3 linked regions of the Struthio camelus genome follow. The protein of the gene in region 2 purifies or fractionates together with the protein of the main gene of each other region. This does not show direct contact. Links are inferred from orthologs where the notes say so. Each region holds a gene or a part of one and is shown on either strand. Other genes may lie near its edges.

Evidence for each region. The genes of interacting proteins can lie anywhere in the genome.
Region 1: the proteins of FAF2 (region 2) and UBL4A purify together in Homo sapiens (affinity purification with mass spectrometry; 3 studies listed by BioGRID and IntAct, with this or other methods). This does not show direct contact. The link is inferred for Struthio camelus from reciprocal best matches to the Homo sapiens genes FAF2 and UBL4A.
Region 3: the proteins of FAF2 (region 2) and PEX19 purify together in Homo sapiens (affinity purification with mass spectrometry; 4 studies listed by BioGRID and IntAct, counting the BioPlex papers as one, with this or other methods). This does not show direct contact. The link is inferred for Struthio camelus from reciprocal best matches to the Homo sapiens genes FAF2 and PEX19.

What each region holds. Positions count from the first base shown.
Region 1 is NC_090979.1:62,950-70,287, reverse strand, and holds the start of UBL4A (ubiquitin-like protein 4A), read left to right. Parts: upstream 1-4,325; 5' UTR 4,326-4,450; coding exon 4,451-4,498; intron 4,499-6,541; coding exon 6,542-6,647; intron 6,648-6,723; coding exon 6,724-6,941; intron 6,942-7,338. Other genes in the region: PLXNA3 (plexin-A3), read left to right, coding at 657-807, 1,891-1,986; EKC/KEOPS complex subunit LAGE3, read right to left, coding at 2,467-2,581, 3,197-3,325, 4,169-4,200. UniProt on the Homo sapiens protein: As part of a cytosolic protein quality control complex, the BAG6/BAT3 complex, maintains misfolded and hydrophobic patches-containing proteins in a soluble state and participates in their proper delivery to the endoplasmic reticulum or alternatively can promote their sorting to the proteasome where they undergo degradation.
Region 2 is NC_090954.1:10,069,413-10,077,012, forward strand, and holds the start of FAF2 (FAS-associated factor 2), read right to left. Parts: upstream 3,010-7,600; 5' UTR 2,338-3,009; coding exon 2,275-2,337; intron 1-2,274. Other genes in the region: CLTB (clathrin light chain B), read left to right, coding at 3,416-3,707, 5,976-6,022, 7,508-7,600. UniProt on the Homo sapiens protein: Plays an important role in endoplasmic reticulum-associated degradation (ERAD) that mediates ubiquitin-dependent degradation of misfolded endoplasmic reticulum proteins.
Region 3 is NC_090971.1:621,042-629,086, forward strand, and holds the start of PEX19 (peroxisomal biogenesis factor 19), read right to left. Parts: upstream 3,014-8,045; 5' UTR 2,946-3,013; coding exon 2,891-2,945; intron 1,996-2,890; coding exon 1,895-1,995; intron 1,662-1,894; coding exon 1,496-1,661; intron 1-1,495. Other genes in the region: Fc receptor-like protein 4, read left to right, coding at 6,253-6,257, 6,520-6,614. UniProt on the Homo sapiens protein: Necessary for early peroxisomal biogenesis. Acts both as a cytosolic chaperone and as an import receptor for peroxisomal membrane proteins (PMPs).

The DNA.
Region 1 (7,338 bases), on a different chromosome or scaffold from region 2:
GGGCCTGCCCGCCTACCGCGCCTGGGTCGAGAGGTGGGGACGTGGGGACACATTGGGGACACCGCGGGGACCTGGGCCTGCCCGCCTAGTGCGCCTGGGTCGAGAGGTGGGGACGTGGGGACACACTGGGGACACTGCGGGGACCTGGGCCTGCCCGCCTAGTGCGCCTGGGTCGAGAGGTGGGGACGTGGGGACACTGCGGGGACACTGCGGGGACCTGGGCCTGCCCGCCTAGTGCGCCTGGGTCGAGAGGTGGGGACATGGGGACACATTGGGGACACCGCGGGGACCTGGGCCTGCCCGCCTAGTGCGCCTGGGTCGAGAGGTGGGGACGTGGGGACATTGGGAGGACAGGGGAGCACAGGGCTGCCTGCCTGTCACATCCGGGGGGGGGGGGGCACTGGGGACATGGAGGGGGGCATGGGACCTGTGCACCCACCATGCCTGGATCAAGAGGTGGGGACATGGGACGGGGGGACATCAGGGACATTGCTGGGGGGCACATGGCACTGCTGGCCCTCCTGAGTCCCTCCTCACCCACGGGTGGTTGGGGGGGGGGGATTTGGGGTGCCCACAGCCCTCCAGGAGTTGGCAGGCTTGGAAGGGTTTGGGGGGGGGGTCCCGGCTGCCCCCCAGGAGCTGTGGGGCGCCCCCAGGTACTACCGGGCCGTGGGGCGGCTGGCGCCCATCAGCGAGGGGGAGATGGACGCCTTCCTGGCCGAGCAGTCGCGGCTCCACGCTGGCGAGTTCGACACGCTGGGGGCTCTGGGGGGGCTCTACCAGTACGTGGGGCGCTACCGCGATGAGGTGGGTCCTCCCAGTAACCCCCAGTACAGCCCAGTCCCCCCCCACCAGAGCTGCAGTAACTGAGGCTTACCATTCATTCCCCCCCTGAAATGGTACAGGCCAGTGGGACCCCCCCCCATTACAAATATTGGTACAATCCAGTAGATTCCCCCCAATAATGGTATGATCCATTGGGAGGTTACCCCCCAATAATAGTTCGGTCCATTGGTTCCCCCCCCCATGATAATAGCCATGATAACAGCAGTCGAGTAGTGCCCCCTCCCCAAATAATAATGGTATGCACCAATGGACCCCCCCCATTACAAATAATGATAGAATCCAGTAGGAACCCCCTTTAATGGTACAATGGTACAATCCATTAAGTTCCCCTATCATGGTATGGTCCAGTGGGGTTTTTTTCCCCCCCCCAAGGTTTTGCAGAATGGTACTGCCCAGTAGACCCCCCCCCCAATCAAAGAGATGAGGGAGTCAAGGGAAAGTTCCCCCCCCAATTAATGGTATAGTCCAGTGGGCAAAACAGTAATGGTGGGACCCGATCGATGATTCCCCTGCTCCATAGTAATGGTATGGCCCAATGGGCCCATTCCTCCAAAATAGTAGAGTCCAGTCTGCACACCTCCCCAGCTGATAATGGTATGCTCCACTAGCTCCCTGTCCTTTCACTGGTACACTCCAGCCCCCCCCAGCTGATAGTGGCACCGCCCAATAACAGCCCCCCCCCCCCAAATAGTACGTTCAGGCCCCCCCCAGCTGATAATGGCATGGCCCAATAGCAGCCCCCCCCCACCCCAAAATAATGGTATGTTCCAGTCCACCCCCTCACTGATAATGGCATGGTCCAGTAGCAGATTATCCTCCAACAACGGAATGGTCGAGGGCCCTCACCCCCCCCAGCTGAAAAACACCCCGATAGTGGTATGGTCCGGGAGCACCTCCCCCCCCCCAAACTAGTATGTTCTAGTGTCCCCCCCCCACAGATAATGGGATGGTCTGGTAGCAACTACTTCCCCCCCCCGTAATGGTACACTCCAGTAGCGGGTCACCCCCCCCCCCGCAGTGGTGTGACCCCCCCCCCCCCCGCAGGTGCTGGCGGCGCTGGAGCGCGACGCCGGGTGCCGGCAGCAGCGGCTGCGGCAGCGCCTGGAGCAGGTCCTGGCCCTGCTCGGGCCCCCGGCCTGACCCCCCCCGGGGGCCGGGACCCCCCCCGGCCCCGCCCGCCCCCCCCCCCCCGGGCGCGGTGCCTTATTTATTGTGTCTGTGCCCCCCCCCCCATGTTCGTTAACTTGGTGTCGCGCATTAAAGTGCTCCCCTCCCCCAAAAACACAGCAGCCTCCCGCGGGCTTTATTTCGCGGCACGACCCCCCCCCCCCGGCAGCTTGGGGTGGGGGGGGGGCAGGTCCGGGGGGGTCTCACTGGGGGGGCCCCAGTTTGGGGGGAAACCCCCAATCGCTCAGGGTCCTCCCCGCCGAGCCCCAGCCTGGGGGGGGGTGTCCCATTTTGGGGGGGGGGTCCCCAGTCCGGGGGGGTCCCCGTTGGGGGGGGTCTCAGTCCGGGGGGGTCCCCAGTCCGGGGGGGTCCCCGTTGGGGGGGGTCTCAGTCCGGGGGGGTCTCAGTCCGGGGGGGTCCCCAGTCCGGGGGGGTCCCCGTTGGGGGTGCCGGCTAGCGGGGCCGGGGGGGCCCGAAGCGCTCCATGGTCTCCACCACCAGCTCCAGGTGCTCCAGGAAGGAGCCGACGGCCACGCGCAGGCTCCGCGCCTCCGGGGCCCACCACCGCCTGCGGGGGGGGGGGGAGCTGCCGCGGCCCCCCACAGCCCCAACCTGCCCCGAACCCCCCCAGCGCCCCCTCCTGCCCCACGACCCCCATCCTGCCCCATGACCCCCCCATCCTGCCCCCTGCACCTCCTCCTGCCCCCAAACTGCCCCCATGACCCCCCATCCTGCCCCCACTGCCCCCTCCTGCCCCCAAACTGCCCCCATGACCCCCCATCCTGCCCCCACTGCCCCCTCCTGCCCCCAAACTGCCCCCATGACCCCCCCATCCTGCCCCATGACCCCCCATCCTGCCCCCAGCGCCCCCTCCTGCCCCCAAACTGTCCCCTGCACCCCCCATCCTGCCCCCTGCACCCCTCCTGCCCCCAAACTGCCCCATGACCCCCCATCCTGCCCCCTGCACCCCCTCCTCACCTTCCACCCCCTCCCCAAACTGGCCCAATGACCCCCCTGCTGCCCCCAAACTGCCCCATGACTCCCCCATCCTGCCCCCTGCACCCCCTCCTGCCCCCAGCGCCCCCTCCTGCCCCCAAACTGCCCCCATGGACCCCCCACTCTTTTCCCATTCCTGCCCCCCACCCCGCCGTGCCCCAAATCGCCCCCGGCGCCCCCCGCTCACGCCTGCAGGTGGGGGCCGTCCAGGGCCAGGTCCCGGCGGACGCCCCCCCGGCGGGGCTGGGCGTCGGGGGCCAGGGAGCCGTGGGCGATCTGCGCCTCCAGCGCCGACGGGAAGGGCACGCTCAGCCGGCTGGCCGCTAAGGAAGCGCCCCGCGCCCCCCCCGGGGCCCCCCCCAATTCCACCGCTAAACCTCCCTCCCCGGCCCACGATTCCCCCCACTTCCCTCCCTACAGCCCCCCCCCAAACCCCATCGCTCTCCTCGCTGCCCCCCCCAATTCTCCCTTCAGACCCCCCAAACCCCCTCTCAGCCCCTCCCCATACGCCCTTAAGCTCTCTGATCCCCAGAGGCCCCCCAGTATCTCCCAGTTCCCTCCCTGGGCTCCCAATTCCCCCCCCAGGCACCCTAAACCTCCCCTGGGCCCCCAACTCCCCCCCCGTGACCCCTCAGTTCCCTTCCAAGGCCGCCCAGCCTGCTCCCCAGTGCCCCCCTCTAGGCCCCCCCCAGTACCTCCCAGTTCCCTCCTTTGGCCCCCCCAGTTCCCCCTCTAGGCACCCCAATGCCTCCCTCTGCCCCCCCAGTCCCTCCCCCAGTGCCCCCTCTGCTTCTCCAGCCCCCCAATTCCCTCCCAGCCCCCCCCGGACCCCCATAACCCCTCAGAGCCCCTCCAAAGCCCCCTGACCCCCCCAGCCCTCCACTGCCCCCTCTGCCCACCCCACTGCTGCCCCTGTCCCTCTTTAAGCCCCCCAGGCCCCTCCCAGCCCCACAACTCCCCCTCTAGCCACCCTGATCCCTCTCTGGGACACCCAATCCCCCCCCAGCGCCCCCAGGGCTCCTCCATTTTCTCTCCAGCCCCCCAGCTCCCTCCCAGCCCCCCCATAACCCCTCAGAGCCCCTTCAGCGCCCCCTCCTCGGCTCCCAGCCCCCCCGGTGCCCCCCGGACCCCCAGCGCCCCCCGCCCCGGGCCAGGATACAACTCCAGCCCGTCTCGCGCCTCCGCCGCCATCGCGCCGACCGCTGGCGACGTCACAGGCCCCGCCTCCCCCTCCGCCCGGCGCCGCTCTGGCCCCGCCTCGATGGGCGGGAGGGGGCGGGGAAGGGAGCGAGTGGGCCGCTCTGGCCAGCCGGTCCTCCAGGCGGGGCCGTTAGGGGGCGGCGCTACGGTGGCCGCGCGGCGAGGCGCTCTAGCCGCGGCGCTCGCTGGTGGCCGTTAAAGGGCCCGCGGCCCCCGCGGCGGCGGCGCTCCCGCTCCCGCCATGCTGCTCACGGTGAAGGCGCTGCAGGGGCGGGAGTGCAGCCTCCAGGTACCGGGGGGACGGACGGCGGCCTCGGAGGGTCACGCAGGGGACGGCGCCGGGGGAGGGGGGAGGTACGGGTGCTGGGGCGGGCCATGGGGAGCGGCGGGGGCGGGGTACGGGGCCCGGCGGGGGTCACAAGAGGGGAGAAAGCGGAGCGATGGGGCTGGCGGGGGGGCGGCCTCGGCCGGGGGGGCCGGGGGGGGTCTGGGTAAGGGCTCCCCCCCTTACTGGGGGGCTAGTTTGGGGGGCTCAGGGGGTCCCCCCTTGCTGGGGGGGGGTTGAGGGACTCCCCTATTGCTGGGGGGGGTGGTTTGGGGGGGTCAGTGACTCCCCTTGGGGGGGGCTGGTTTGGGGGGGGCTAGGGGCTCCCTTTGCAAGGGGGGGCTGGTTTGGGGGGGCTCAGTGACCCCCCTTGCAGGGGGGGCTGGTTTGGGGGGGGGCTCGGGGGCTCAGGGGTTCCCTTTGCAAGGGGGGGCTGGTTTGGGGGGGCTAGGGGCTCCCTTTGCAAGGGGGGGCTGGTTTGGGGGGGCTCAGTGACCCCCCTTGCAGGGGGGGCTGGTTTGGGGGGGGCTAGGGGCTCCCCTTGCACAGGAGGGCTGGCTTGGGGGGGCTCAGTGACCCCCCTTGCAGGGGGGGCTGGTTTGGGGGGGCTAGGGGCTCCCTTTGCAAGGGGGGGCTGGTTTGGGGGGGGCTCAGTGACCCCCCCCTTGCAGGGGAGGCTGGTTTGGGGGGGGCTAGGGGCTCCCTTTGCAAGGGGGGGCTGGTTTGGGGGGGGCTCAGTGACCCCCCTTGCAGGGGGGGCTGGTTTGGGGGGGGCTAGGGGCTCCCTTTGCAAGGGGGGGGCTGGTTTGGGGGGGCTAGGGGCTCCCTTTGCAAGGGGGGGCTGGTTTGGGGGGGGGCTCGGGGGCTCCCTTTGCAAGGGGGGGGCTGGTTTGGGGGGGCTAGGGGCTCCCTTTGCAAGGGGGGGCTGGTTTGGGGGGGGCTCAGTGACCCCCCTTGCAGGGGGGGCTGGTTTGGGGGGGGGCTCGGGGGCTCAGGGGTTCCCTTTGCAAGGGGGGGCTGGTTTGGGGGGGCTAGGGGCTCCCCTTGCACAGGAGGGCTGGCTTGGGGGGGCTCAGTGACCCCCCTTGCAGGGGGGGCTGGTTTGGGGGGGCTAGGGGCTCCCTTTGCAAGGGGGGGCTGGTTTGGGGGGGGCTCAGTGACCCCCCCCTTGCAGGGGAGGCTGGTTTGGGGGGGGCTAGGGGCTCCCTTTGCAAGGGGGGGCTGGTTTTGGGGGGGCTCAGTGACCCCCCTTGCAGGGGGGGCTGGTTTGGGGGGGGCTAGGGGGCTCGGGGGCTCCCTTTGCAAGGGGGGGGCTGGTTTGGGGGGGCTAGGGGCTCCCTTTGCAAGGGGGGGCTGGTTTGGGGGGGGCTCAGTGACCCCCCTTGCAGGGGGGGCTGGTTTGGGGGGGGCTAGGGGCTCCCTTTGCAGGGGGGGGCTGGTTTGGGGGGGCTAGGGGCTCCCTTTGCAAGGGGGGGCTGGTTTGGGGGGGCTCAGGGGCTCCCTTTGCAAGGGGGGGGCTGGTTTGGGGGGGCTCAGTGACCCCCCTTGCAGGGGGGGCTGGTTTGGGGGGGCTAGGGGCTCCCTTTGCAAGGGGGGGCTGGTTTGGGGGGGCTCAGGGGCTCCCTTTGCAAGGGGGGGCTGGTTTGGGGGGGCTCAGTGACCCCCCTTGCAGGGGGGGCTGGTTTGGGGGGGGCTCGGGGGCTCCCCTTGGAAGGGGGGGCTGGTTTGGGGGGGCTCAGTGACCCCCCTTGCAGGGGGGGCTGGTTTGGGGGGGGCTAGGGGCTCCCCTTGCACGGGAGGGCTGGCTTGGGGGGGCTCAGTGACCCCCCTTGCAGGGGTGGGGGACGATTTAGGGGGTTCATCCCCCCCCTTGCTAGAGGGGGGCAGGTCTGGGGGGGCTCAGGGGGAAAGGGCTGGTTGGGCAGGGGGCTCCAGGCCTGGGCGCGGGGCAGGTTGGGGGGCGGCGGCGGCGGCGGGGGGGGCAGCTCAGCACGGTGCCCCCCCCAGGTGTCCCCCGAGGAGCGGGTGGGCGCCCTGAAGCGCCTGGTGGCCGAGCAGCTCGACGTCCCCGTGGCCCAGCAGCGCCTGCTCTACCGCGGCAAGGCCCTGGCCGGTGGGTGCCGGGCCGGGGGGGCCGGGGGGGCCGGGGGTGTCACCGCGCTGTGCCGCCTGTGCCTGTCCCCCCCCAGACGAGCTGCGCCTGTCGGACTACGCCATCGGGCCCGAAGCCCGGCTGAACCTGGTGCTGAAGCCGCCGGAGCGGGCCGGGGGGGGCGAGGAGGGGGGCCGGGGCGCGGCGCCCCCCCCGGCGCCCCCCTTCCCCGCCATCTGGGCCCAGCTGGGCCGGGTGCTGGGGCGACACTTCGGGGCCGCCGACGCCGCCCGCGTCCTGGAGCAGCTGCACAAGGTGGGGGGGGGGCACGGACCGGGGGGGACAGGGACATGGGGGGGGGCACGGACGTGGGGGGAACACGGGGAGGGACACGGACCGGGGGGGGACAGGGACACGGGGGGGACACGGACGTGGGGGGAACACGGGGGGGGACACGGACGGGGGGGGGACACGGACGGGGGGGGGACACGGACGGGGGAGGCACGGGGCGGGCACGGACACGGGGGGACAGGGACACGGGGGGGACACGGACGGGGGGGGACACGGACCGGGGGGGACAGGGACACGGGGGGGACACGGACCGGGGGGGACACGGACCGGGGGGGGACACGGACCGGGGGGGACAGGGACACGGGGGGGACACGGACGGGGGGGGACACGGACCGGGGGGGACAGGGACACGGGGGGGACA
Region 2 (7,600 bases):
CCTCCCTCCTAATCTATTCTCCCACTTTATTTACATTGTAGTGGTATGACTTCTGTGGAAACACAATGCTTTGTGGCTGCAGAATATTGCAAAAATTACTTTTTATGATGGTGTGTCACAATGAAAGCGTAAAGCAACCTTAGAAAGCATACAAGAAGCGCCCCCTGCCAAGAGGGTGAGAATCCCTGGAAGGTTTGCAGTTTTCCAACTGTAAGTGTGCTCTGCAACAATAGCAATGTACAGATGACTTTAGCAAGACATAAGTCTTCTCCAAGCGCATGCTATTTAAAAGAATCCAGAGTTTCTCAGAGAGCTAAAGGAAACAAAAGCTGTTCCAGATGGACTGATTTACTCTCGTTCCAGCACAACAAGCAGGACCGCATGCCCGAGCCCTTCCAGCCAGGTATAAAGATAACACAGGAGATGGACATCACCAGTGAAGTAGGTCCTTAGCACAACCCTGGTGAAATGCTAATCCTGTGTACCCTAGGCTGTACATGAATGAGAGGATCCTGGTATTGAAGCCTTCTAGATTCTCTCTTTCATATCAAGCTCTGGACAACAGCTGTCTTAACCTTAAAGCTTCTCCCTTTTTCTAAGGGACTTCTTCCTCTGCCCTCTCCCTCCATTTCAAACTAGAGCTCACAAGAAAGCTGGACTAACACATACAGCCCTCCTTTTGAGTCCTTCTCCCTCCTTTCTCAGGAGCCTCCAGCGCCCTAGCCTGCTACTCACAGCAGTAACAGAGGTAGCATTAGGAAACAGACACAATTCCATACAGTTTCACTGCTGCCCACAGGGCTTTGAAAATAGCAGCAGTGAAACTAATAAGTGCAGCTGATCCTATCTATCCAGATTCAGCAGATGACTAAGTACTGCGATATCTAACATTGAGGAAAATAGACCCAAAAGTCGATTTTTACATATACGTTAGCAATAATATGCAGCACAAGTCAGCGTCTTGAAGCTCACACACTTACCAGGAAAACAGTAGCACTGGGAAAGAAATTGTTAAAGCTATTCATGAACATTTGACTGTAAATTAAAACTGCCCAATCAGCTTAATTTGCAGTATACATTCAGATGTCGTATCAGCAAGAAGTCAACCATGGAGAAACGCTGCAGTGTATTACTTCAGGAGATGGTTGAATCCCCTTGTTCAGAGGTGTCAAATAGAAAGGCTAGGCAAATATCTGTCTGAAATGACCTAGCTCAGTAGTAGGAGGCAGGACTGGATGCTTTTGAAATACCTCTAAGCTCTGTAATTCTACAGTTATATTGCATCAAAAAAAGCAAAGCATGTTCTTAAGATAAACTGAACATGAAGGAACAAAAATTAAACAAAACTCTTGAAAGAAAAGATTACTTTTGTTGCAGGAAAAAAAAGTCCAAGAAAGTCTCTGCAATGCCCTACAATTCAAAAACAAACCCAAGACACCTGACCACAATTTTCATTCATCAGTAATAGTTTAATTACCTTTCACCGAGCAGCCCAAAGTATTTCAACTCTGACTGCAGCACACTTTTCTAATAAGAAAAATCTGCATTTTTTTTTAAATTATCTGACTGCTGCACAGCCCCATGGACTTGGCAAACCAAAGGTTACGTCACCCAGCCCATGCTATGCAGCAGATAGCAAGATTAGATCATTACTAGCCCCAGTGGCCTTCCCCCAACAGCTATTACCCAACCTTGAGGGTTAGGAACAATTTTGTGAGAAACCGCATTGTATAGAAACCCGCTGGCCAGTCCTCCTCACATAACAGGAAGGGTTTTCCTTTCACCAGTAACAACAAGGGGAATTTTTCACACTAGATAATTAAAATGGCTGGAACAGACCGAGAAGTTTCCCCTACGCAGAGGTAATGGGGTTTATTCACCAGTCGCTTCCTGCCTTCCGAATTAACGTTGACAGGCACCATTCCTCATGAAATGCCAGGAGCACGCAGAGCGCCGACTGACCCTCAGCGAGGCGGGCGGCGGCCCGGGGCAGCCCGAGCAGTGCCAGCCCCGCACCGGCGGGACCCCCACGCCAGTGGGGGCCGTGCCCTACCAGGAAGCGGCCCCCTCGCCCCCACCCGGGCCAGACCTACAGGACTCTCCTCCCCCGCCCCTCTCCCACACGGGCCCGCTCCGGGCGGGGCCTGCAGCGGCTCTCCGGGCGCCCCGTGCCCCCCGGCCCGCGGCAGGCCAGCAGGACCCCAGCCCCGCAGGCTAGCCCAGCCGCCCCGCCGCTGCCTCCCGGCGCGGCCCGGTGCCCCCCCGGCGCGGCACCTGGAACTGCAGCAGCTTCTCGGTCTGCTCCGCCGTCAGCTCCCGCTCCTCAGGCGCCGCCATCTTCCTGCCGCCTCTGACCCGCCGCTCCGTCACTCTCCGGAAGTGACGTCGCCCACCAGCACTTCCGCCCCGGCTCTCCTGGCACGCGCGCCCGCGCAGGCGCGACTGGCGAGCCAACGGCCGCTTACTCGGCCACAGCCGGAAATACTCGGCCGCGTTCCGGAGATGGCCGAAACGCTCTCGGAGACCGCCGGAGATGCCCGAACCGCGTCCGAAGGGCTCGCAGGCCCGACCCGCTCGGGCGCTCCCGATTGGCACACGAAGAGTTCCGAAAGCCGCTCGGGCATTTCCGGACACGGCCGAGGGCGGCGGCCGCCTCAGGCCTGCTCCGTGGCTGTGCCCAGGGCTGGCGGCCGCGGGTCGCCGGGGGAGGCGGGGGGACCGTGGCAGAACTCGCAGGCCGGAGCCCACGCGGCGCTGGCTTGTCGGCCAGTCACCGAGGTGGTCCCGCAGCCGCCGGCGGGTGTTGTCCAAGCACCTCCAGTTCTCTGAGGACCCCCACCCACAGGCAACGGCCCCACCCAAGATGGCGGACGAGGGGGGGGTCCCCAGCCAAGATGGCGGAGGCGGAGGGCGCCCTCTGCGCCGTCCCGCCAGCTCCAGGGCCGCGGTGGAGCCCGGCCCCGCGTTCAAAATGAAAAGGGCTAAAAGCGAGCACGTGGCTAGGGCCGATGCAGCCACGGGCGGCGGGGGGGGGGGGAGTGGGGCGACCCGGAGAGCCCGCGCCCCAGTGCCCGGCCGTAGGGGCCGCGCCGGGACCGCGTCAGGCTCGCGGGGGCTCCGGCAGCGGCCGGGGCAGCACCGCGACAAGGTGGTGGCAGGCGGATAAGGAGCAGGACGCGGGGCACCAGGGCCCCGCTTGGGCAGGGCGCCCGGCGGCGGTGGGGGGGGGGGGTGGTGTGCCGTTTGCCGGGCACATGGGGCGCCCCCGCCTGCGTGTGCCCACACGGCGGCCGGAGGGAAACCCGCCGGTGGGGCAGCAGGGCAGCCCGGCTCTCCCTGCGCCGGGGGGTGCCGGGCTGGGGGCCCCGCGGGCCCGGTGCGCGGGCGCGGCCCCGCCTGGCCCGCCCCGCCGCTGATGTCAGGCGGCGCCGCCCCCCCCCCCCGCCGCCGCCGCCGCAGTGACAGCTACGCCCGGGCCCAGTCGGGCCGCGCCGCGCCTGCAGCCGCAGCGGGAGCGCGGGGGGGCGCCATGGCCGACGACTTCGGCTTCTTCTCCTCGTCCGAGGGCGCCGCCGCCGAGGAGGACCCGGCCGCCGACTTCCTGGCCCAGCAGGAGAGCGCGATCGCGGGCATCGAGAACGACGAGGGCTTCGGGCCGACCGACGGCGAAGGGGCCCCGGCCTCGGCCCCGGCCCCGCCGGAACCGGGTGAGCGCCGCGCCGGGGGCCGCGGGGTCCTCCCGGCTGCACTGCCGGCGGGGGCGCGCCTCCGGGCTGCGGTCCTCAAGGCAGGAGGATCCGGCCCTGGGCTGCTCCCCCGAAGGCCCCGAGGGGAGGGTTCCCCCCGGGCTGCACCCCTCATGGATGTAAAGGAGGATCCGTCCCTGGGCTGCCCCACTGAGGGCACAGAGGGGATCCCCACAGGCTGCTCCCTGAAGGAGAAGGGGTGGGGGGGCACCCCCCTCCCCGATCTGCACTCCCATGGGCACAGAGTGGGGTCAGTCCCGGGCTGCACCCCTGGTGGTTGCTGATTTGGGGTCCCCTGCAGGCTGCACGGTACCCTCAGTGGGTGATGGGAACCCCCCGTGTGCTGGGTCTGTGCTGCACTCCCAGTGGGCAGGCAGTGGGGACCCCCCTGTGCCCCACATCTGCATCCCCGTCATGATTCTCCGGGGGGCTGTGCTTGGCTCCCCAGGGCTTGGGGTTCCCTCTCCTTGAACCTCAGGTTTTGGCATGACCCTTGAGCTTGGGCTTGCCTGCTGTGGAATGATTCTTTCTTTGTATGGTCAGGCTAGGTTCCCCAGGCTGGACACCCTCCCTTTCCCCCACGTCTCAGTCCCTCTGGCTGGAGCAGGGTGAAGGGGATCCAGGTGGGATTAGGGGACAGTGAGCCATCCATATGGGGCTGGGCAGCCCCTTCACTGGCCCAAAGACCGGAGAGTGCTTTGGCATGCAAAATGGAAGGCATTTCCAGCGGGGACATCAGTGTCTCAGCCCCTGGAGGTATAAGGTGCTAATCCGGATCTCATGCCTCCATTTGGGCCCCACTGCTGCCACAGTCCTCTTGGCTCCTTCCCCTGGCAGGCCTGCAGGGCCCTCCCGTGCTGGCTGCGGGGTGGTGTTTCACCACCCCAGAAGCAGGGCCATGGAGCCGGTTCTGGAGCCCAGAGAGGCGTTGGCAGCTGTGGCAGTAAATGCAGTCAGACAGGCTGAAGCTGGGTGTAGCCGGAGCTGTAGGACCAGTGCTATAGGGAGAGTGCTTGTCTGAGCTGCTCCAGAGCTGTGCTGTCACTGTGTGGCTGTCTGTGCCCCTGGCTGGCCTGGCCCTCGTTGATGAGAGCTCAGGGCCTGGAGTCTGCCTCCTGCGAAGCCTCTTCTCTGCACAGCAACAGAGAGCCCCCATGGGGCTGGTCTTGTGGCCCTGGTGTGCAGCTCTCAGGAAGTTCTCTGGTGCTGGGAAGGAGGTGGGGATGTACTGCAGCCATGGGCATCAGCAGTGCCTCGTTCCCAACCCCAGGGAATTGCGTGCATTCCCCAGACAGGTTCTTGAGGACCTCGGTATGCGTGCCTGCCCTCCTCCTTGCTCGCAGAGTGCACTGCAGTGTCTCTGTGGGCTCCGTTCCTGGCAGGTTTGCCTTCCTGTCACAGGCTCAAAACAGCTCTGCCTTTGCTGGCTGGAGATTGCTGGAGACTCAGCTGACAGCTGTGGGGTCACCAGTCCATGTCCACAGGCATCCTCTGCCTGGCCATTTGCAGGTTCAGATTTGCTCAGGTTGTCTCGGTGCAGTCAAAGTATCTATCTTTGTCCAGTCCCGTGCCTTAAACAGTCACCCTAATCTCCAGATAAGATAAAACACCAGTGAAAACACCATAAAGACATAAATGCTCAGGGAGATTCCTCTAGGAAGGAGAGGTGCTGGCTGAATTCCACCAGGGACAGGAGACCACTGGACGCAGCCCTGAGCCCTCTCACGGGTGGAAGGAGACCCCAGGTACCATACAGCAGCAGCGCAGGGAGGGTTTGCTGGGTTATTGGCTCTGGACACCAGTGCAGACAGTGCACTTCCCCTTCCCCTTGCTGGCATCAGTAGGCAGTGTGGGGCGAGGGTACTGGGGCCTGGGGCAGGCAGGGTGGGCTGTGCTGCCATGCTCTGCTCTGTTTTGGAAAGGGGGGGATTTGGGGCCCTGTTGGGAGCAGGCAGAGCCGATTGGGCTGGGAACGTGACGTCCTCTGAACGCAGAGACCTTGCTGGCTTCTGTTTGAGCTCTGATGTGGCTCAGCTGGTGTCCATTGTTCTGGCCAGCCTGGAGGTCTTCCGTCTCTGCCTCATGTATGGAGGGCTGTTGTGGATTGGTGTGCTGGGTTGGAAACAGCAAAGTCACGTCCTTCTTGAACCGACTTGCCGCTGGTTCATGAACACCAGCCCCTGTGGGGTCACCTGCAGCTGCCATAGCTGTTTTTCTCTTCCTCTCTAGCTGGTTTCCAGAATGGAGGAGCCACTGTCAATGGAGATGTCTTTCAGGTGAGAGCTCAGCCCCTTGCCCTGGCTGGTGTTGCCAAGGGAGATTAGGTGGGTACGGGGCCAGCACTCCGGTGCCCTGTCTGCAGGATTGGTTGGACTTTGCTGTCCAGCCTGGAACAGCTGTGGTGCTCCTGGGAAAATCTGGGTCTCATGTGAGGGAGTTCTGACTGCTCTGTTCTCACCTCTGTGTGAAAGTCTTGTCCCCCCTACCATGGCCCAGGGCTGGGAGTTAGAAGTTTTGGGACTGGCAGAACCAGCCTGATCCTCTTCCAACTGTGCCCCAACTTGCTCCAAATCTGTTTGCAGGTGGGCTGTGCCCTGAAGGAGTGCCTGGATCCTAAGAGCAGATGAAAAGCCTGGAGAAATCCTCCATTCTCCAAAGGCCCCCTCTCTCTAGCCTGGCTCCTGGAGGCCTCTAGGGCAGTAGGGAACATCTCTTGGCAGAGTCTGGAGACAGGACAGGGTTGCTGTGGGGAACCCCCTTTGCTGGTGCACGGCAGTGGTCTTGCTATAGAGCCCCGGCAGCATCTCTCCTTAAACCCGCATGCCTCATGGCTAAGGGTGTGTCAGGGGGCCTCCTGCCTGGGTCTCAGCCCCTTCTGGGAGCCCCAAGCCCTGCTGCGGTGGCGACAGGGGAAGCAGTGCCAGAAGCTGACGAGCTTTTCGTTCCACTCGCTACCAAGTGCTGTGGCATGTGCATTGCCCGTGCTTAGTTTATGGGATGATAATCACATCAGAGATGGGACAGACTTAATTAGATTTGGGGATCTTGGAGGAGAGCTGTAATCCCATCCCTGAGCTTAGAGTGGGGCTGGGCATCCTGACCAGCAGTAGGGGTTAGGAGAGATGCTGATGTGGGCAGAGCAGGATGCTGGGCTTGGCGGGAGCTATAGAGGGCAGCTTGCTCCGAGGAGCGAGGGAGGTTTTGCCTGCAGGCGGGTCTCCAGGCAGAGTGGTGCCTCCCTTGGGCCCTGCTGCTCGCCTGGGCTCTTTCAGTCTGCGGTGGCCAAACTGCCAGACCTGTGATGATGCTAATTCTTGGGGTTGCCCTACCTCTCCTGCCTCTGCCCCGAGTCAGAGCTGTGAAAGCCCAGCGCTGTGACCTCACAGTGAGGCCATGTGGTTGTGGGCACGATGTCACAAAGCTACCTGGCCATTCTCTGCCGTGGGGCGCGCAAAGAACGTGGGCGTCATGTTCGCAGCGAGCAGCCAGCCACGGAGAGGGGGGCTGGTGAGTCCTGCCATCTGGCGGGGCCTGGGCCCCAGGGCTGGGAACTGGGATGGCAGCTTGAGCAGTGCTGTGGGGACACTATGCTGGATGCCCTGGGCTGGTGTGTGGAGGGTAGTCACTATCCCTGCCACCCATTTCAGCCTTTCTCAGTGATGGGAACGCAGAGCCCTGTCCTGCGGTGTCAGCCCTTAGAGGTGGCTGAGCTGGGCTGTAGGAGAAGCTGACGCTGACAGTGAGGCAATTGTGTCCTGCAGGAGTCCAACGGCCCCACAGATGCTTATGCAGCCATAGCCAAGGCTGACCGGCTGACCCAGGAGCCTGAGAGCATCCGCAAGTGGAGGGAGGAA
Region 3 (8,045 bases), on a different chromosome or scaffold from region 2:
ACTTCATCCTGCGTTGTCCAATGGCCAGAGAAAGAAAACAGCCTCAGATTCGGTCACGGCAGGACTCCTAGGGAAACTGAAACACTGACCTGCCCAGAGTTAAATTAAGACCTTCCCTGCCCAAGTCTGTGGAAAGTCCTCTGGGAGCTCTCCACAGTCCACACTGAAGAAACGCCAGCTGCTGATGCCCTCCGAGAGCCACGTTCATGCATCCCCTCCTGTGAAGGCACACTTTGTCCTGTCTGTTACCAAACAAACCTCTGCCCTGCACAACCGGTGACAACAGCGATTGCTCAACCATCCCAAGGGGCCAAGAAGGATCTTCTGCCCTTTAGCTCATGGTGCAGTGCTAGGCGGCAGGGCAGGGCAATCCAACTGCTACCACGGCACACAGACGACATCCCAGAGTCCAGCATGCCAAACCCTGGCACACGGAGCCAGGAAATCTTACCCTCGGGCAGCATGTGCTGCTCTGCCCGTGCCCTTGGTAACAGACTCCTGGCCCAGCCAGCAGCAGAGTTGGCTGCGAGCCGAGACCTCGACCCTGGGAACGGCTGCTGGGGCCAATGTGGATGTCAGCGTAAGCCTGGCAAGGCAGGATTTATTTTTAAACCGGTCTTGCGCTACCTGAAGAGTTCACCAGGTTGAAACAAGCCTCGTAGTGGTGAAACCAACTGAGCGTTGGACCTGTGGTCCACTAACTGAGGGGTTCGCTGCTTGCTTTAAATCCACTAAGAGGCTGACTGCGTCCAGCCTGCCACGTCCCGGGCACGGGGGAAAGCTCTCAGTGAGTGACATTGGCATGTTGACATGCACTGACATGCATCTCCTTCCCAGGGAGCCCACGAGCGACTTTGGCAGCTGCACAGGTCCACGCATGACCGTCCTGCAAGTGCTTTTCAACACTCCTGGAGTAAACCCAATCTAATTAAGGGAGCATAATTAAGCCCCAAGTGGCTCCACGGTGCTTCTAATTGCAGTCAGACATCCCAGTGACACACAACTTGTTACCAGCCTTCCAGCATAGCTGAGAAGGCTGCTAAGGAAAGGCGGAGGAAGGATCTTGCTTTCACATCCACTTCTCCATATACCCCCAGTGCTAATCATGACAAGACGACGTTCCGATTGAGCCCAAACTTCTCCTGAGGAATCCATGTCACGCAGATTACCTCTGCGTGGCGGGGATTTAGGATGAGCAGGCTCCAAGGGGATGCTCCACAGCTGGGTTAAGGTGGGATCTCCTCTTCCATAGGGACTAAGAGGACAGTCGAAGGAGAAAGGCAGAGAGGCCAAATCCTGAGGGAAGCTCCCTTTGCAAAGTTGGCTTCAGCTGGGATCACTGCAGGCCGAGGGGCTCCCAGGACCCAGGTGGGGTAAGAGTTATCCACAGAAAGCCTCTCCCCGGCAGAGGAGAATCGGGTTCTCAATGGCAGCTGTGGGCTGCCCACAGCCCAGCACCTACTCCCTGCACGCACAGGGGCTCAGCACCACTCACCGACTCTGCCTGCTGCCTCTGACAGCTTCTGAAACTGCTCCACCAAGTGCGGCTCCTCCTCAGCCAGCTCCTTCATGGCTTTCTCAAACTCCGCTGTGGCCTGCGAGGCCAGTTCGCTGTCAAACAAATCCTGGAAAAACTTCTCCTGGGAGGCGAAGAGTGATTCCTGAGGGAAACGGGCACAGTCAGAGCTGTGCCCTGCTCTGGATGCCTGGAAGGGCTGCAGCTGGCAGCGACAGAGCAGCCCCAGGAGATGCTGCTTTCCAACCTCGCAGAGGGCAAATACTGGCCCGTGGCAAAAACAGCCCTGCAACAGGGCTCTTCCCCCCCTTGCCCAGCTCCTCCAGCCCCGGCAAGCCGGCAGCGGCAGAGGGAGGCCACGTCCTGATGGCGTCGCACCTTGGCTGCATCGCTGGGAGACTTTTCGGAGTGGCCAGGGTCTGTGGGGGCAGGCGGCGGTGGGGCGGTGGGCCTGGCCTTCTCGAAGTCGTCGAGGGCACCTGGGGACAGGAGCGGGGCCGGGCCAGGTAAGCGGGGATCCGGCCGAGGACGGTGCGACAAGGGGCAGGGACGGGGGGTCCCGGCTTGTAGCACCCCAAGCAGGGGTTGACCCTGAAACTCCTGGCCCCAGGCAGCATCGGGGTGGGATGCCTGTGGGACAGGCGAGGGGAGGTCTCCCAGCCCCGGGGCATGGCACCACCGCTCTTGGGGCAGCAGAAAGTTGCTGTGGGGTGCGGGCCGCTGCTGCCCCCGACCACCCCCCCCGGCCCCGCTGCTGCCCCCGACCACCCCCCCCCCGGCCCCGCTGCTGCCCCCGACCACCCCCCCCGGCCCCGCTGCTGCCCCCGACCACCCCCCCCCCGGCCCCGCTGCTGCCCCCGACCACCCCCCCCCGGCCCCGCTGCTGCTGCCCCCGACCACCCCCCCCCGGCCCCGCTGCTGTTGCCCCCGACCACCCCCCCCGGCCCCGCTGCTGCTGCCCCCGACCACCCCCCCCGGCCCCGCTGCTGCTGCCCCCGACCACCCCCCCCCGGCCCCGCTGCTGCTGCCCCCGACCACCCCCCCCCGGCCCCGCTGCTGCTGCCCCCGACCACCCCCCCCCCCGGGCCCGCTGCTCCCTCCAACCACCCCCCCCCGGCCCCGCTGCTCCCTCCAACCACCCCCCCCGGCCCCGCTGCTGCCCCCCCCACGACCACCCCCCCGGGCCCTGCTGCTGCTGCCCCCCCCCGACCACCCCCCCCCGGCCCCGCTGCTGCCGCCCCCGACCACCCCCCCCCGGCCCCGCTGCTGCCCCCCCCACGACCACCTCCCCCCCCGGCCCCGCTGCTGCCCCCCCCGACCACCCCCCCAGCCCTAGGCTCCCCCCGGCCCGGGCGCTGCCCCGGCCCCGCTCACTGTCGAGCAACTCGTCCAGCTCCTGGTCCGGGCCCGGGCCCGGCTCCGCCGCCATCTTCGCGCCGCTCCGCCTCCGCCGGAGGGCGGGGCCCGGCCTAGCAAGCTCCGCCCCTGAGGCCCCACGCCCCGCCCCACGCCCCGCCCCACGCCCCGCCCCACGCCCCGCCCCACGCCGTTCCGCGAGCGCCCCCCAGGCGGCGCCGCAGCGCGCTCCCGGCCAGGACGCCCCGCTGCCCCCTGGCGGCGCCGCGCGGAGCTGCAGCGCGGGGCTCCGGCCGGGCCGCGCCGCGCCGCGAGGGGCTTCGCGGTGTCCCCCCCCCCCAACCCCCCCCCATCCCCGGGCAGCCCGTGAGCCGGGCAGCCGCGTCCCCCCCCCCCCCCACCCCGGGCACCGGGGCGCCCGTGAGCCGGGCAGCCGCGTCCCCCCCCCCCATCCCCGGGCAGCCCGTGAGCCGGGCAGCCGCGTCCCCCCCCCCCCCCCCCCCATCCCCGGGCAGCCCGTGAGCCGGGCAGCCGCGTCCCCCCCCCCCATCCCCGGGCAGCCCGTGAGCCGGGCAGCCGCGTCCCCCCCCCCAACCCCGGGCAGCCCGTGAGCCGGGCAGCCGCGTCCCCCCCCCCCCCCCATCCCCGGGCAGCCCGTGAGCCGGGCAGCCGCGTCCCCCCCCGGGCACCGGGGCGCCGCATCCCCTGTGAACGGCAAAGCCACGTCCCCCCCCGAACTGGGGAGCCCCAGGGAGCCGCATCCCCCCGTGAACCGGGCACCCGGGCAGCCGCGTCCCCCCGGCTGGCGAAGCCGCTCCCGCCGGCCCCGGGGGGAGCCGGGGGGGCTGGCAGGACGGGGGGAGCACGTCCCCACAGCAGCTGCCGGGGCCTGGCAAGCTGTGCCCAGCTGTGCCCAGCTGTGCCCATCACGGCTGCCCGCGGCTGCCGCTGCTCGGGGCTGCGGTGGGTTGCCCTCGCTGGGCCGGGCCTGCCCCGTGGGCTTCCTGGGGGAGAGGAAGCCCAGCGGGGTGGGCTGTGGCGTTTCCTGCCTTTGTCTCCCTGCCGCGGGGACCGCAGGGGAAGGACCTTTCCTTCCCCTCCAAGAAAAGGTGCGGGAAGAGGTCTCGGGCTGGGATGCTCGAGCTCTACCCAGCGCCACTCCGCTCGCCATGGCTCTCGCTCTGCTCCTGCCTCTGCTGAGTAAGTGCCATCCCGCTCCCCGCCCGGCCCAAAGCGGCCCTTCGTGGTGCCGCCGAGCTCTCACCGCTCCCCCCGTCTCTCCGCAGCCTGGCTCCAGACCCTGCCGCAGCCCGGGCACCCCGCAGGTAAGGAGGGTGCCGTCCGCCGCGGGGAGCCGCTCGCCCGCCCGCCCGCCCCGCTGCCCGGAGCCTTTCCCTTGCAGACCTCCTGCCAGCCCCTTTCCTGAGCATCCTCCCATCGCACTTCAGCCTGCACGGCTCCAGCCAGGACAAGCTCGTCACCCTGCGGTGCCTGGCTCCCATCACCTCGTCCGTGACCATGTACCGATTTTACTGGCGGTCACAGCCCCAGGGCCCCAAGAAGAACTTCAGGAACGCCTCGTCGCCCACCATCGAAGACAGGGCGCTGCCCGGCGCCTATTCCTGCGTGTACCTGTCGTACAGCAGCCAGGGCTTGACTTCGTCCCTCGAGAGCCCCCCGGCCCTCTTCCCGCCGCCGTGGGACCACCTCCCCCCCGTAGGTTGGGGCTGGCTGGGTGCTGAGCGCCGTGGCAGTGGGTGTCACCGGGCTGGGGCTCCCCCGTCCTTTCCCCTCTCCCCGGCACCTCTGCCCTGGCTGGAGGAGAGGCAGAGGATGGAGTTAATCCTTGGAAAAGCTGGGGGGCACATAAGCCCCTGGCTTTGAGTCCTTCGCTTACCCTGACCCCCACTTTGTCCCCCTGCTCAAATGCCCTCGGGGCTCCCAACGAAGGGCCCCGGGGTGCAGGTACCCAAGGACAACGGGACCGCCGGGGACAGCTGCTCGTCGACTCCAGGCTGCTCCTCGACGGGCACCAGAGGAGGTGAGGGGCCACCACGGAGACCTCCCGTCCCCTCCCCGGAGAGGTCCCCCGTGACGGCCGCGCTCTCTCCCCAGGGCCAGGCCGATCGGCCTCCTGCCGCTGGCACCCGAGGATGAGCCCGGTCTTCGTCGCTGCCGCCCTTGGTTTCCTCCTGCCCCGCTGCTGCTGGTAGCGGCGAGGTAAGCGGCTCCCTCGGGCACCGCATGTGTGAGCATGCACGCTCGTGTGTGTTTGCACTCTCACGGAACAAAACCCAGGCTGTGACCTTGGCCCCACGCCACCGACGGAAATTTGTGTGACTTTACCCTGCGGCGTACCATGCATTTAGCTTTTTACTGGCTCTAGACACATCGGCTCCTTCAAAAAACAAGGGAGCACCTGCAGCAGCGATGCACACGTGTGAAGCGGTTGCTGCTCTGAAGCGGATGGGCAAAACCCCCTCCGCAGATGCGTCGCGTTGGGGCAGTGCTGCCGCAGGAGCCCTTCCCTCCCCTTCCGGCTGCCGCCCTTTCCCTTCGGGGGGGAAACGTTTGGTTTAAAACCTCGTTTGCTTTTTTTCCCCTACCCCTGCCAGACTTCTGCGCTCGCCGCCTGTCGACCCGCCATCACCACCCGGCCACGCGTCTACGGCTTAGCGAGAAACACCGACCGGCAGCGGCTTTCAGAGGTGCTCAGGAAACACACGGCTCCAACCGGACCCTCAGCTTTCTCACATATGTTAATATAATAACCCATTGCATATATATATTCTTTATACAATAACCTGTTGCATAGGTATATCTGATACACAGTAACCCATTGCATAGGTATACGGTATCTATATTAACCTGTTGCAAAGTATTAGCCTGAAAAAGAGGTACTGGAGCCTGCAAGGACGGGGTGGCAAGCCCTGGATCGCTCCATGCCCTGTGCTGCGGAGCCGCAGCGAGGGCTGCGAGCAGGGCGAGCTGTCTGCTTCCAATAAACCTGCTGAGCAAAGAAAAGAGACTGGATTGACCCCTCCAGCAGCACGGTCAGGCTGTCTGCCCGTGCACCCGTGTCCCACGGGGTGACTGTCCCCGCTGGCCCCAGGGGCAGCCGCGGGAACCGCAGAGGGGGAGCCTGGGGGCTCTCCTTCTTTTTCACTGTTTGCTGAGAATCGGGGGCTGCACAACACAGCTCGCTTCAGTTCTCACCAGATCATTTGCTTATCAAAGCATCTGCAAGTGATCAGACACACGTGGGTGACAGAGGACATGTTACGGTCACTGCGCACGACCCGGCAGAGCCGGTGCTGGGAACCTGTCCAAGAGGTGCTGCATCACTCAGAGACCGTTTCGCCCAGCTGCCCAGCCCGGAGATGGGGTTAGCAGCTCCAAACCCTCTGTCGGCTCCTGTCGCCCCTTGGCTCAATGCTGGCCACGTGCGGGAAGACCTGAGCACCCGGCCCCCTGCTGCCGCCAGCCACATCTCTGCGCCGGCTCGGTGGCGACAAGCAGCTGGCACCCACAAAGGCCCATCCCGAGCCCCTGGGTGCTGCTCGCTGTGTTGTCCTGGCCACTGAGGATGGGGGAAATGCCCCAGGGGGGGGAGCACAAGCCACTTCCTTTTCCTTTTCTCCAAATAGCAGTTATGCAAAGGGGAGGTGGCCCAGCGTCAGCAGCCGGCCGGGCGAGTCGGAGCCGGCCGGGATGGCGAGGAGCGCGGCTCTGCTCCTCTGGGGTAAGTCCTGGCGGGATCGGGGCCGGAGGCCGGGGGAGACGAGGCGTCCGGCGGGGCCACGCGCGCCCGCGGGGCGACGGGTGCTGGAGAGGAGAGCGCGGGCGGAAACCCTGCTCCCGCACCTCGCCGCCGCACCAGCCCGCTGGCGGTCCCGAGCGCCGCGGCGGCGGTGAGCGCGCTCTCCTTCTGGCCTCCTCGTCCCCTCGCCGGCCTTCCCCGTCCCCGGGCACAAGCTCGAGGCGCAAACGGGACGCGGTGCCACCCGGCGGAGCCGGCGCTTAGGTGCCGAGGCGGCGAGGAGGCTGCAAAGAGGAGCTGGGCGCAGGGCCGGGGCCCCAGCCCCCCTGCCCCGCGGCCCCTCCGGCAGCCCCCTCCCCTCCGCGCTCGGAGAGGGGCTGTGGCTGCCTGCTGGGCGCAAAGCCGGAGTCGGGGTCTGGCCGTTCCCGGCTGCCCTGCCCGCGGTCGGGCGCCCGGGCTGCCCCCTCTCCCGCGCCGCCGGCGGGCAGACGAGCCCCGAGCGGAGCGGGCCGGCGGGGCGGCGAGCCGTGCCGACCCCGGCTCGGGGGCCGGGGAGAAGCGGGGCCGGCGCGCGGCGAGGCGGCCACGTGCGGCCTCCGTCGGGGGCGCGTGGCACCGGCACCGGGCGGGAAGTAGCTGCAGCCGGGAAAACCGCAGCAGCGGGCTCCGCGCCTGCCCCAGGGGAGGCTACAAGCCCGGGCTGGATCTGGCCCATCCAGCCCAAACTGGTGTGATTTGGAGAAATTTCCTCCCAAACTCCGGAAGAGCAGGCCCGGCAGATGGTGCTCCGGGCTGGCTGGGCTCGCGCGGGGACGTGGGGCTGGGGGGGCTGGGGACCGGTGGGGGGGGCTGGGGTGGCCACGGGGCTGGGGCCGTGGGGCTGTGGGGACAGGCACTGTGGGGCTGGGGACATGGGGATGGGCACCGTAGGGCTGGGGTGGCCATGGGGCTGGGGATACGGGGACATGGGGATGGGCACTGAGGGACCGGGGTGGCCATGGGGCTGAAGCTATATGGATGAGGAGACAGGCACGGGTGTGGGCATGGGGCTGGGGTGGCCATGGGGCTGGGGATATGGGGACAGGCACCATGGGGCTAGGGGTGACCATGGGGCTGGGGACATGCGGATATGGGGACAGGCACGGAGGGGCTGGGGTGGCCATGGGGCTGGGGATATGGGGACATGGGGACGGGCACTGTGGGGCTGGGTTGGCCATGGGGCTGGGGATATGGGGACAGGCACCATGGGGCTGGGGTGGCCATGGGGCTGGGGACATGGGGACATGGGGACGGGCACTGTGGGGTGGGGTGGCCATGGGGCTGGGGATATGGGGACAGGCACCATGGGGCTGGGGTGGCCATGGGGCTGGGGATATGGGGACATGGGGACGGGCACTGTGGGGTGGGGTGGCC